Kluyveromyces lactis: one gene and its partner. The protein of the gene in region 2 interacts with the protein of the main gene of each other region in a biochemical or structural test. Links are inferred from orthologs where the notes say so. Each region holds a gene or a part of one and is shown on either strand. Other genes may lie near its edges.

Region 1 (4,769 bases), on a different chromosome or scaffold from region 2:
TGGAAGATCATCTTTTTACCATGTTGAAGAGATACAGATTCAACTTCATATCCATCTCTCAACGCCCGTCTTTGATAAAATACCATGACTACCTATTGGAATTGACTAACGGAACTGATTGGAGCCTACAGGCATTAGGGTCAGACGAAGCTATTTTATCAATCGAAAATGAGATTGAAACCCTAAACCAAAAGCTAACAAAGGTAAAAGAATGGGAAAGGCAGAGAGATGAACTACAGGCAAAGTTGACATTGGTGTGAAAAATTGGTTTGAAAATTTAAATCTGCCAAGTCAAATGAACTATTCTTGGTGTGTAGTTCAATCAGTAGTAAAAGTGTCGGATATTGTATTCATTACTATTATATAATATAATCACAGAGTTAATGAATCTATTAATATTTTGCTCTATATAAATTATGCAAGAAAAGCACAGGTACGTCTGTGTATTTTATTGTACAAATGGTACGGAATGATGTATAGAAAGAAAAGAGCAAATTAATCTATTTGAAGTCCTTGTAAGTCCATTTCTCAGTGACTCTTGGTTTATATCTTCTACCTTTTCTAATAGGGATACGAGATTCTACCCTACCAGAACTTTGTAATGCTCTCACAGTGTCATATAGCAGATTACCTTCTGGTCTTAATTTTCTTAATGAATCTGATAGTTCATCTGAGAATTTCACCTCTAAATTGTCTTCCATGACGGAATGTTTAGTACCAAGCTTATGCTTCTTGTTCTTTTTAACTTTTCCGGCTGTAGAGACCGGATTTGGGACGGTGGATTCCACTTCCTGCTGAATTTCCTCTAATTTTTCAAGTTTGAGAACCTTTTCCTTCAATTTCTTTAATTCTTGCTGAAGTTTGACTTTTTCTTCGTGTCTTCTTTGTTTATTTCTCTGATATTTCGTTTTCTTTTTATTCTTAGTTGCTGGATTCAGAGACAACTTAGTCTCTTCTCCCTCTTCTGAAAGGTCTTTATCATCAAGTTCTGATTCATTTTCTTCTTCTGAATCGGAGTCCTCTTCCTCCTTATCTTCAATAGTATCCATCAAGTGTTGAATTCGTTGTTTATATTGTTCTAAAGCTATCCTGCGCTGTTCATTTATCAGCTCACCCTCATATTCAGTACTTATAAGAGCCTCCCATTCTTCTTTGCTTGGATTATATGACTTTCCTGCATGTGGAATGACATCTCTTTCTTTGACAATTTCTGGCACGCGAGCAATGGAATCCGGCTTAACAGTTGCGACGGACCAACTAGTTGTAGACTGTTTTAAGAATCCATTTGGAAGTTTCTCTACTTCTTCTGGTGCTATCTTAAGCTTCAGTCCAGATGGTACTTTAACCTCCTTACCAGCATCTTCGCCCCATAAATCAAGGGATCCTGACTTCACAAGACCTTCTTTTGCAACTCTTGCTTTCAACTTACTTTCACCAATTTTTTTACCAGCTAAAGCAAGTAATCTGTCCAGTTCTTTCTTTGATACCCCTTGGATCTTATCATGTTTCTTGTTAGCAGTCTTTGGGTTGGTTAGAGCAGGCACTTTGGATTTAGACTTGATAGACTCCAAAATCTCGGTTGACTTCAGAGTTTTCTTGATTGCTTTCCTCTTCACTAATTTCTGCTTTAAAACTTGGTCACCCTCAGTATCAACCGCAAAAAGCGCATCATCGCTAAGTTCTGTCAAATTCTGCTTACCATGAGTAGTCTCAAGGATCTGCTTCTCTTCGAGCTTGCGTTCCACATCGCTTATATCAATATTCTTTCTCCATGCCTTCTTACCTTTACGAGAAGATTGTTTGTACTGAGCTGGTCTGTCCTTAGATCCCGCCATAACTAACTATTTTGTCTGTTTGTTTGAGGTGGATTGTCCTGAATAGTATGGTAAGGATTAGTAAAACGATACGCCAGTCCCCGAGTATTAATTGTGTACTTGAATTCATCTCATCGCATCGCATCTCATCTCTTTTTTTTTTTTTCATCTTATTGGCATCGGATTGTCTAAATGAAAAATTGACATAAAAAAAAAGAAATATGATTATTCTCCGGGTAACATTCACTTTCGAAGCAAAGTAAAGGATATCGATTCATAATAGACAAGGAGATAGCTGTCGAATGTCAATTAGGAGAGGAATAGTCTAGAATCGTGTGATATTGATAAGTAACATCTGTAATTGATAAAATAAATGATTCTTCAATCGAATTATATGCTATATATTTGAACGGATGTCTGAAAAAATATTACTGTATTGTTAGCCTACTCCGTGTGGGAGCTTCCTTCATGTTCTTTCGGCACCTCTACTTCTGTTTCTGTACTTTCTATTGTTTTAAGCTCTGTTGGTTCAGATTCAAGCGCTTTTTCCTTTTGAGCCTCAGCGTCAGCATCTGGTTCTTCAACTTCTTCCTCAAGTTTTTGTTTCTTCGAAACAGCTTGTTCTTCTTCATTCCCGTCAGCCTCTGGACTATCGTGTCTTCTCTTTAGTGAATCATTATCTTGATCATCAGGCGAAGTTGTTTTATCATTTTTTCCATTTTCCAGAGTTTCTCTTTGACTTTTTATCTTCGCTTGAAGTAGATCTTTCCTTTCTTGTTCCTTGTCTTTGAAAAACTGTTCAGCCTCGGCGACTTGTTCGGAATGTTTCTTCTTTTTTGACTCTATTCTTTCGGCTAGCCGTCTTTTCTTAGATTCGATATCATTCCTAATGAGTTCTTCATTGGCGAACCCCGCCAGAGTAGTTTTTTCGCTGACCTTATTAAACTCAAACAAGTATTTCGGCCTCAAAGATCTTAGATTCTGCCATTGTTTTACTATGACATTATCAGTAGTGGTTTCATCACCATCAGTTTTTTCAGTTTTATCCTTGTATTCGGATATTATAGTGTCATATAGTTCTGAGGGATCTTGTCTATTGTTTTCTGAATACTTTCTCGCTAAATCTAAGCCTGATTGCACTTTCCATAGACCGTCTAATTTCTTATTGCCGAGTTTAATCCATCCGAATTTCTTGAATGCATTATTAGCTGTTGGTACGGTAATCAAATCAGAGGACCAATGAATGTCTTTCAAATTTGAGAAATCACCGACTTTTTGATTGAGTGCATCCAATTCATTCTGAGCTAGATGATTCAACAATTCATAAAATTGACGATCCCTAATTTCATAAAATGAAGAAATTCTGTTTAACTTCTTCGTTAAGAAATTGATAGCAGAATCGTTTTTATTTAGCACGTTGTCTCCATATTCAACACGCCATTTCGATGAATGGGACAATGAACTCTGATTAAAGATTTTGCCATAGTAGTGAACCAATGTATCATTGGAAATAATTTCCTTCAATAAGTAAAAAGTCAAATAAACTTGCGATATGACCAATTTCCTGAAATAGTCATATTCATATGCTTCAATCCGATCCTGAAAAGATCTAAGATCAAATAAGTCTAATTCTAACGGTAGCAATTGGATGATATTTTCTGACTTCGTAGATTCTAAATTGAATTCCTTCCAGAACTCAACTTTGGATGGGAAAATTGAATTTCTTGAGTCATCTGGTTCATCGTAAACGTTATCGATAAAGTTTAAAGGGTAGAAATCTTTACCATTAACCGCAGCTTCTTGTTTAGCATGCTTTTCATTTTTTCCTTTTATCAAATTGTATAGTTCGGTTTCATAGACAAAGATCTCATCAACAAATCGATGAACGACAGGTTCGAGTGTGAGTTTGTCCCTTGGATGAGAGAATAGCCAATGCAATGGATGAAGGAAGAAATCATCACAAATTTTCGTCCAATCAGAGAGAATAGTAGGAGATGAAGGCAAAGCCGGTAAGTGTGGAGCCCAAAACGTTTCAGGATATTCATCCGTAATTTTTGCCCTTCGATTAATATTGCAATGGTCATTAATAGGTATTAGCTGCGATATCCACCATAATAATTTATGCACAAGCTCGAAATGATTAGGTGTGATGAAGAGAGAATGAGAATCGATGTTCTTGAAAAAAGTATCAATGCTGAAGAAAAGTTTTGCAGCTGGAGGCCTTATTCCCATTTTCAAGTTTGTTCCTCCATTAGATACAGGTTCCTTCGATAGGCCTTCTAAGTACCATGACAATCTTGATCTTAGGTACGTATAGAATTGCCCCAGTTCATGCGGGAAGGTTAATGTCAGGATACAAGTTGCAGTTAGGTCAAAGAATAATGCGGCCCATACCTTAGATTCATCCTCCTCCCCAACGTACTTTAAATGATAACAAAAGTCCAGTAAGACGCTTAGTTTGCGCATGTCTGTGTCTCCAGCATTTGTCACCAATTCGTTTAACAGCCCTTTCAATAGTAACTCTCTTTTACCTAATGATAGTTCCGTATCTAAAGAAAAAGAGCTGGATAGCACACCTTCAGAAATGTTCTCACGTTTCAAAGGTTCAGACAGCACATTTTCAGGGATTGGTCTTTCTGGGTCTTCATACAACTTAATCTGCAATTGATCCACAATTTCGGCAAGTGAGCTCTCGAGATCTTCCATCTTACTTTTAGGTTATCAATCTGCTTCAACCAATTCTTGAATAATAGCTGTTCTCTAGAGGAAAAACAAGATAATAACGCTAGCTCGATTGACTCCACGAACTATAAGGTTTTCCTCCCAAAATAGTTGGAAGACCACATTGTAGCTATAGCTATTCAGTAGGCTTTACCAATGTCAAAATTTCATAACAGTTGCTGAAATTTGTATATCACGTGACCAAGTTTTTGAACGTGAAATGTTAGACCTTTA
Region 2 (4,125 bases):
AAACTAGGATTTCAGATAATAGGATAGATAAGCTCTTGGAGTCGTACCCGTTTAATTTTTCTGCTCTTTATGTTTGATCAAAGCAGTTCATTGCAGTATGCATTAAAAATTCAATCTCATTATATATACTACTTAGGGCTAAATCTCTTTTAAATGCCATGAGATACCCTTATTTATACACTCTTATAATTCCGCGTAGTAAACAAAATTTGAATATCAACATTCCTTTTTGTCAGTTCCAACATTTTCGAGAACTGTTGGCTAATCTGATGCACTGCACATGACTATAGATGAAGAAATTAGGATAGACTGACTACTGTGAAAAGACTCCTTGCAACTGGAGGATCTTATGGGCAGTCTCAGAAAAGCTCAAGTTATCCAATCTGTGTCTCAATGCCTAGGCAGAAGTAGCTATTTCTAAGGAAAAAAACTATTACGCAAACGAATTAGTGAGCGAAATTAACCTGTAAATATGACTAGTTCGATATTTATACCATTAGAGCTGCTCAAGATGCTCTATCTTTTGAATGAGACGTTCTTACCCTTGGCAGGTTTTGATTTTTTCTTGATAGGCTGTGGACCGACATGTTCAACAGAGTAAGGATCGAATCTTCTTTTTTTATGCTTCTGTGAGTTTGTATTATTCTTTGTTGAGTTCAATAGGTCGGAGCCAGCAGCATAATCCATAATCTCATGACTTGCAGGTGGACTGATAGTCTTTCGTTTGTTGTTAGATTGAGATTGTCTTTTGCGCAACGTAATTACTTCATCCTTGTTCTCTTCAATCTCTTCCTGAGAAGGATCAGACGTGATGACTTCATTTCTGTTTTCATCGTTAGATACTTGCGTAGGAGCTTCATCCTCATTTGACGGTAGCACAATACTCTGAGCTTGTCGGTCAGTGTATTCTTGTTCTAACGTCCTTGTTATTTCATGCTGACGCTTTAATAATTCATGTTGTGGAATGAGCGTTCTCGTCTTTGGTGTATATCTGACGGCAGTATTCACATCCAAGTTTGAAATACCATTGAATAGGACAGATTTCTCTGAATTTTGTTCGTTATTCAGCTTTTGAGAGTTTATTTCCGAAGCAAGTGAATGAAATATATTCTGAATGGATTTAATTTGGGACGTTGTTATTATATTGGCCAGATCGGTGCCGTTACTTTCGGCCGATTCCAAAAGTGGGATCGCAGAAGAGTTGGAATTTCCTTTGAGATCCTCTAAAGTTCTTTTGATCAAGTTTGCAATGACCTTCGAATTTGTTCTTAAATGCTCTGAAACGTATGAGCTGACAGACAATACGTTAATGGGTTCGGTTGGTGCACCAGCCACCAACGATACAAGTAGTTGGTTTGGCATCACGTAACGAGGAGATTCATCATCCCTCCTGGCGATTGTATCTCTCCATTCATAAAGTCTACGGAGAAGTAATTCCTTTGAAGCCGGAATATTGTACTGAAACATAATATTCTTCCAAGGTTCATCCTTTTCAATAGGTGAAAACACTGCTGAAGACGGAACCTTTGGTCTGAAACTACTATATTCAAATCTTCTTTTAGCCACTTTTCTCGATTCATGCAAAACATCGGACATCTTATTCTGTTCCAGTAGAGAGTTCCTTAATTTATCGAAAATATTTAGGAGAAAATGCGTATCAGCTCTTGCATATGCAAGCATAGGCTTGGTCAACGGTCTGATTCTCCAGTCTGCCAGTTGATATTTTTTTGAAGTCTTGAAATTAGCAAATCTTTCGAGAAGATAGGCCAGACTGTGTTTTGGAAAACCTAACATCCTGGAGGCATGATAAGTATCAAAAAGGCCAACAATATATAAGCCTAAATCACGTTGAAGCCATATGATATCCATGAATGCACCGTGCAGAACTTTAGTAACATTAGGGTCGGTAAAGATATCATTCAATATGTAAAGTTCCTCTCTCAATGCAATAGTATCTACAATCCAATCATGCTCCCGGTCACTAATTTGCATCAAACAAACTATACCATAGTAAGACCTATAATCATGATGTTCTAAATCGATTGCTAATTCTGTGGCTTTACTTAATTCATCTTTCATTTTGTTAAGGCCTTCAACGGTGTCAACCCAAATTGCTTCAGTTTCATCCCAGTCCTTTGATGGGATCGGTTCTGTTGCAACAAGAATGGAGTCATTGTATTTTTGGTGGTCGATCTCATATTCGTATGGATGTGGGTAATGGGACGGGATGGATTCCTCTTCTGGGACCATCTTCAATGAAATTTCGAACGGTTGTAAACTATGGGGTTTGTATTCCAATAATGGCTTGAAAGGATGAAGTTCTGTGTTATCTACAGGAGTTTTAAAACTTAGTTGAGGTTTTTCAATCCTCTTGGATGGTTTATTGTTCGAACGATCATCATCATTTAGATACTTAAGTGATGGACCTCCAGCGTTTCCACCATTTCCGGCTCTAATGTTGTCAAGTGCATGATCAGACTTTTCAAATAAATTATCCATAATATTACTTATGGATTTCCAAGAATCCACAAAACTGTCTTTCCCTTGCTGAATTACATCATTATTGGGATCAATAGACAAAAGCAAGTCGTTGATTAACGATAAAATGTTCGTAGAAGTGTCTTCTAATGATGCATTAATGTTGGAATCTAAACTTTTGTAGAAATCGATATCCTGTGCAGCCAATGCACTCGATGATCTCACAGTTTGAACCAAACTGGAAAGTAACGTATCCTTATCCTCTGAAGACATGGTGGATTAGAGTCAGCTGGTAGTCTACGGGGGATTCAAAACGGGGCGAATCGTACTGCCCTCCAATATATTACTGTCTTTGACTACCAGATGAGATGAGATGAAGAAATATTCACTAATCAAAAGAAATCAGAAGAATTCAAATCCGGGTAAAATTTAGATGTTCTCTGCTACTGATGAAAATGATTCATTCAAAGAGTCGGTAGTATTACAGAGAGAGTCAGACCACGTATCACCACCGCCGCCATTGCCTTTCAACGGCTACGTTATAAGTTAATTGGCTACTAGAGAACTAACTATATAATCTTGCATAACTTCTGCTTCCTCTACGATGTACGGATTTTTTTTCAACTAATGTTGCAGCATCTCTCATCTCAATATTATAAAATGACGCTAGAAGCAGACAGCATCAGCTGCTCCATTTTATGGCAACCAATTAAGTATAGCTATATAGGGCGGCTAACCTGTAAGAGTAAAGATGGCACAATTGAAGGAAAGTAATGCAAAATCCTGAAACATTTAAGTAGTGAAACTATACTTTAATACTACATGCTTTTTCATTGTAATCTTGGGTAGTGATTCAATAACTTAAAAGTGGGTCAATTAATGTCTAATTTCCGTCTAGACATTATGAAGTGAATATTGATGAGTATTGCTGCGATGAAAAGAACATCAACAAAAATGGGAAACCATTTCAGTATCGTAAAAGACTCATAACACATTTTGCCAACCATCTTCACAAATTCAGCGAAAGATAAATTGAATCCGAAGTTGATTCCATCCTGGCAATGAAATAAATTAAAGGAAGGTCAACTATTGAAATGACTTGAAAGCTTTTTGCCGTTGCGTAGCAAAGTGCTCTTTCTATCCATATTGGTCGGATCATCCTCCTTCATATTTCTCTTTTGTGGAATGGTGATCGGAGGAGAATCACTATTCTCATTAACAGAAGTTTCTCGGGAACGAGTTTTCCGGTGTTCACTCAGATTAAAGCTATCGCCCTCGGTTATAGATGGTGAAACGATCCTGCCCGTAGTGGATATAATGTTTGTGTTTAATCTACCATTTCCTTTATCTTTAAGATTGTTCTTGATTGTTGTACTAGGCGGTACCAAGGTGCCACCAATGCCAGGATTCATTGGATCGACCATTTTGAAGAAGTATGTGGAAGTTTTATCCGGTGAGTTCAATGGATTTCCAACGAGTTGAACAATCTTCCTGTAATAATTCTGTAAAACATTGAAACCATTGTCGGGACCTCTCTGTGAAGCGTTTTTCATGGGTATCAGCATATTGGAGCCCAATTTTTGTTCAATCTTACAATTTTCGATATTATCATCTCTTGGGATAATTCTGTATCTGACTCGTTCCAAA

Evidence for each region. The genes of interacting proteins can lie anywhere in the genome.
Region 1: the proteins of RRP6 (region 2) and NOP53 form a complex in vitro, tested with the Saccharomyces cerevisiae proteins (2 studies listed by BioGRID). The link is inferred for Kluyveromyces lactis from reciprocal best matches to the Saccharomyces cerevisiae genes RRP6 and NOP53.

Annotation. Positions count from the first base shown.
Region 1 is NC_006042.1:1,055,269-1,060,037, forward strand, and holds NOP53 (Nop53p), read right to left. Parts: upstream 1,836-4,769; coding exon 501-1,835; downstream 1-500. Other genes in the region: ATP-binding cassette long-chain fatty acid transporter PXA1, read left to right, coding at 1-260; HPR1 (Hpr1p), read right to left, coding at 2,259-4,520. UniProt on the Saccharomyces cerevisiae protein: Late-acting factor in the nuclear maturation of 60S ribosomal subunits, which is required for normal acquisition of export competence. Required for the export of the large subunit.
Region 2 is NC_006040.1:113,339-117,463, reverse strand, and holds RRP6 (exosome nuclease subunit RRP6), read right to left. Parts: upstream 2,752-4,125; coding exon 517-2,751; downstream 1-516. Other genes in the region: PHO80 (Pho80p), read right to left, coding at 3,561-4,125. UniProt on the Saccharomyces cerevisiae protein: Nuclear-specific catalytic component of the RNA exosome complex which has 3'->5' exoribonuclease activity and participates in a multitude of cellular RNA processing and degradation events.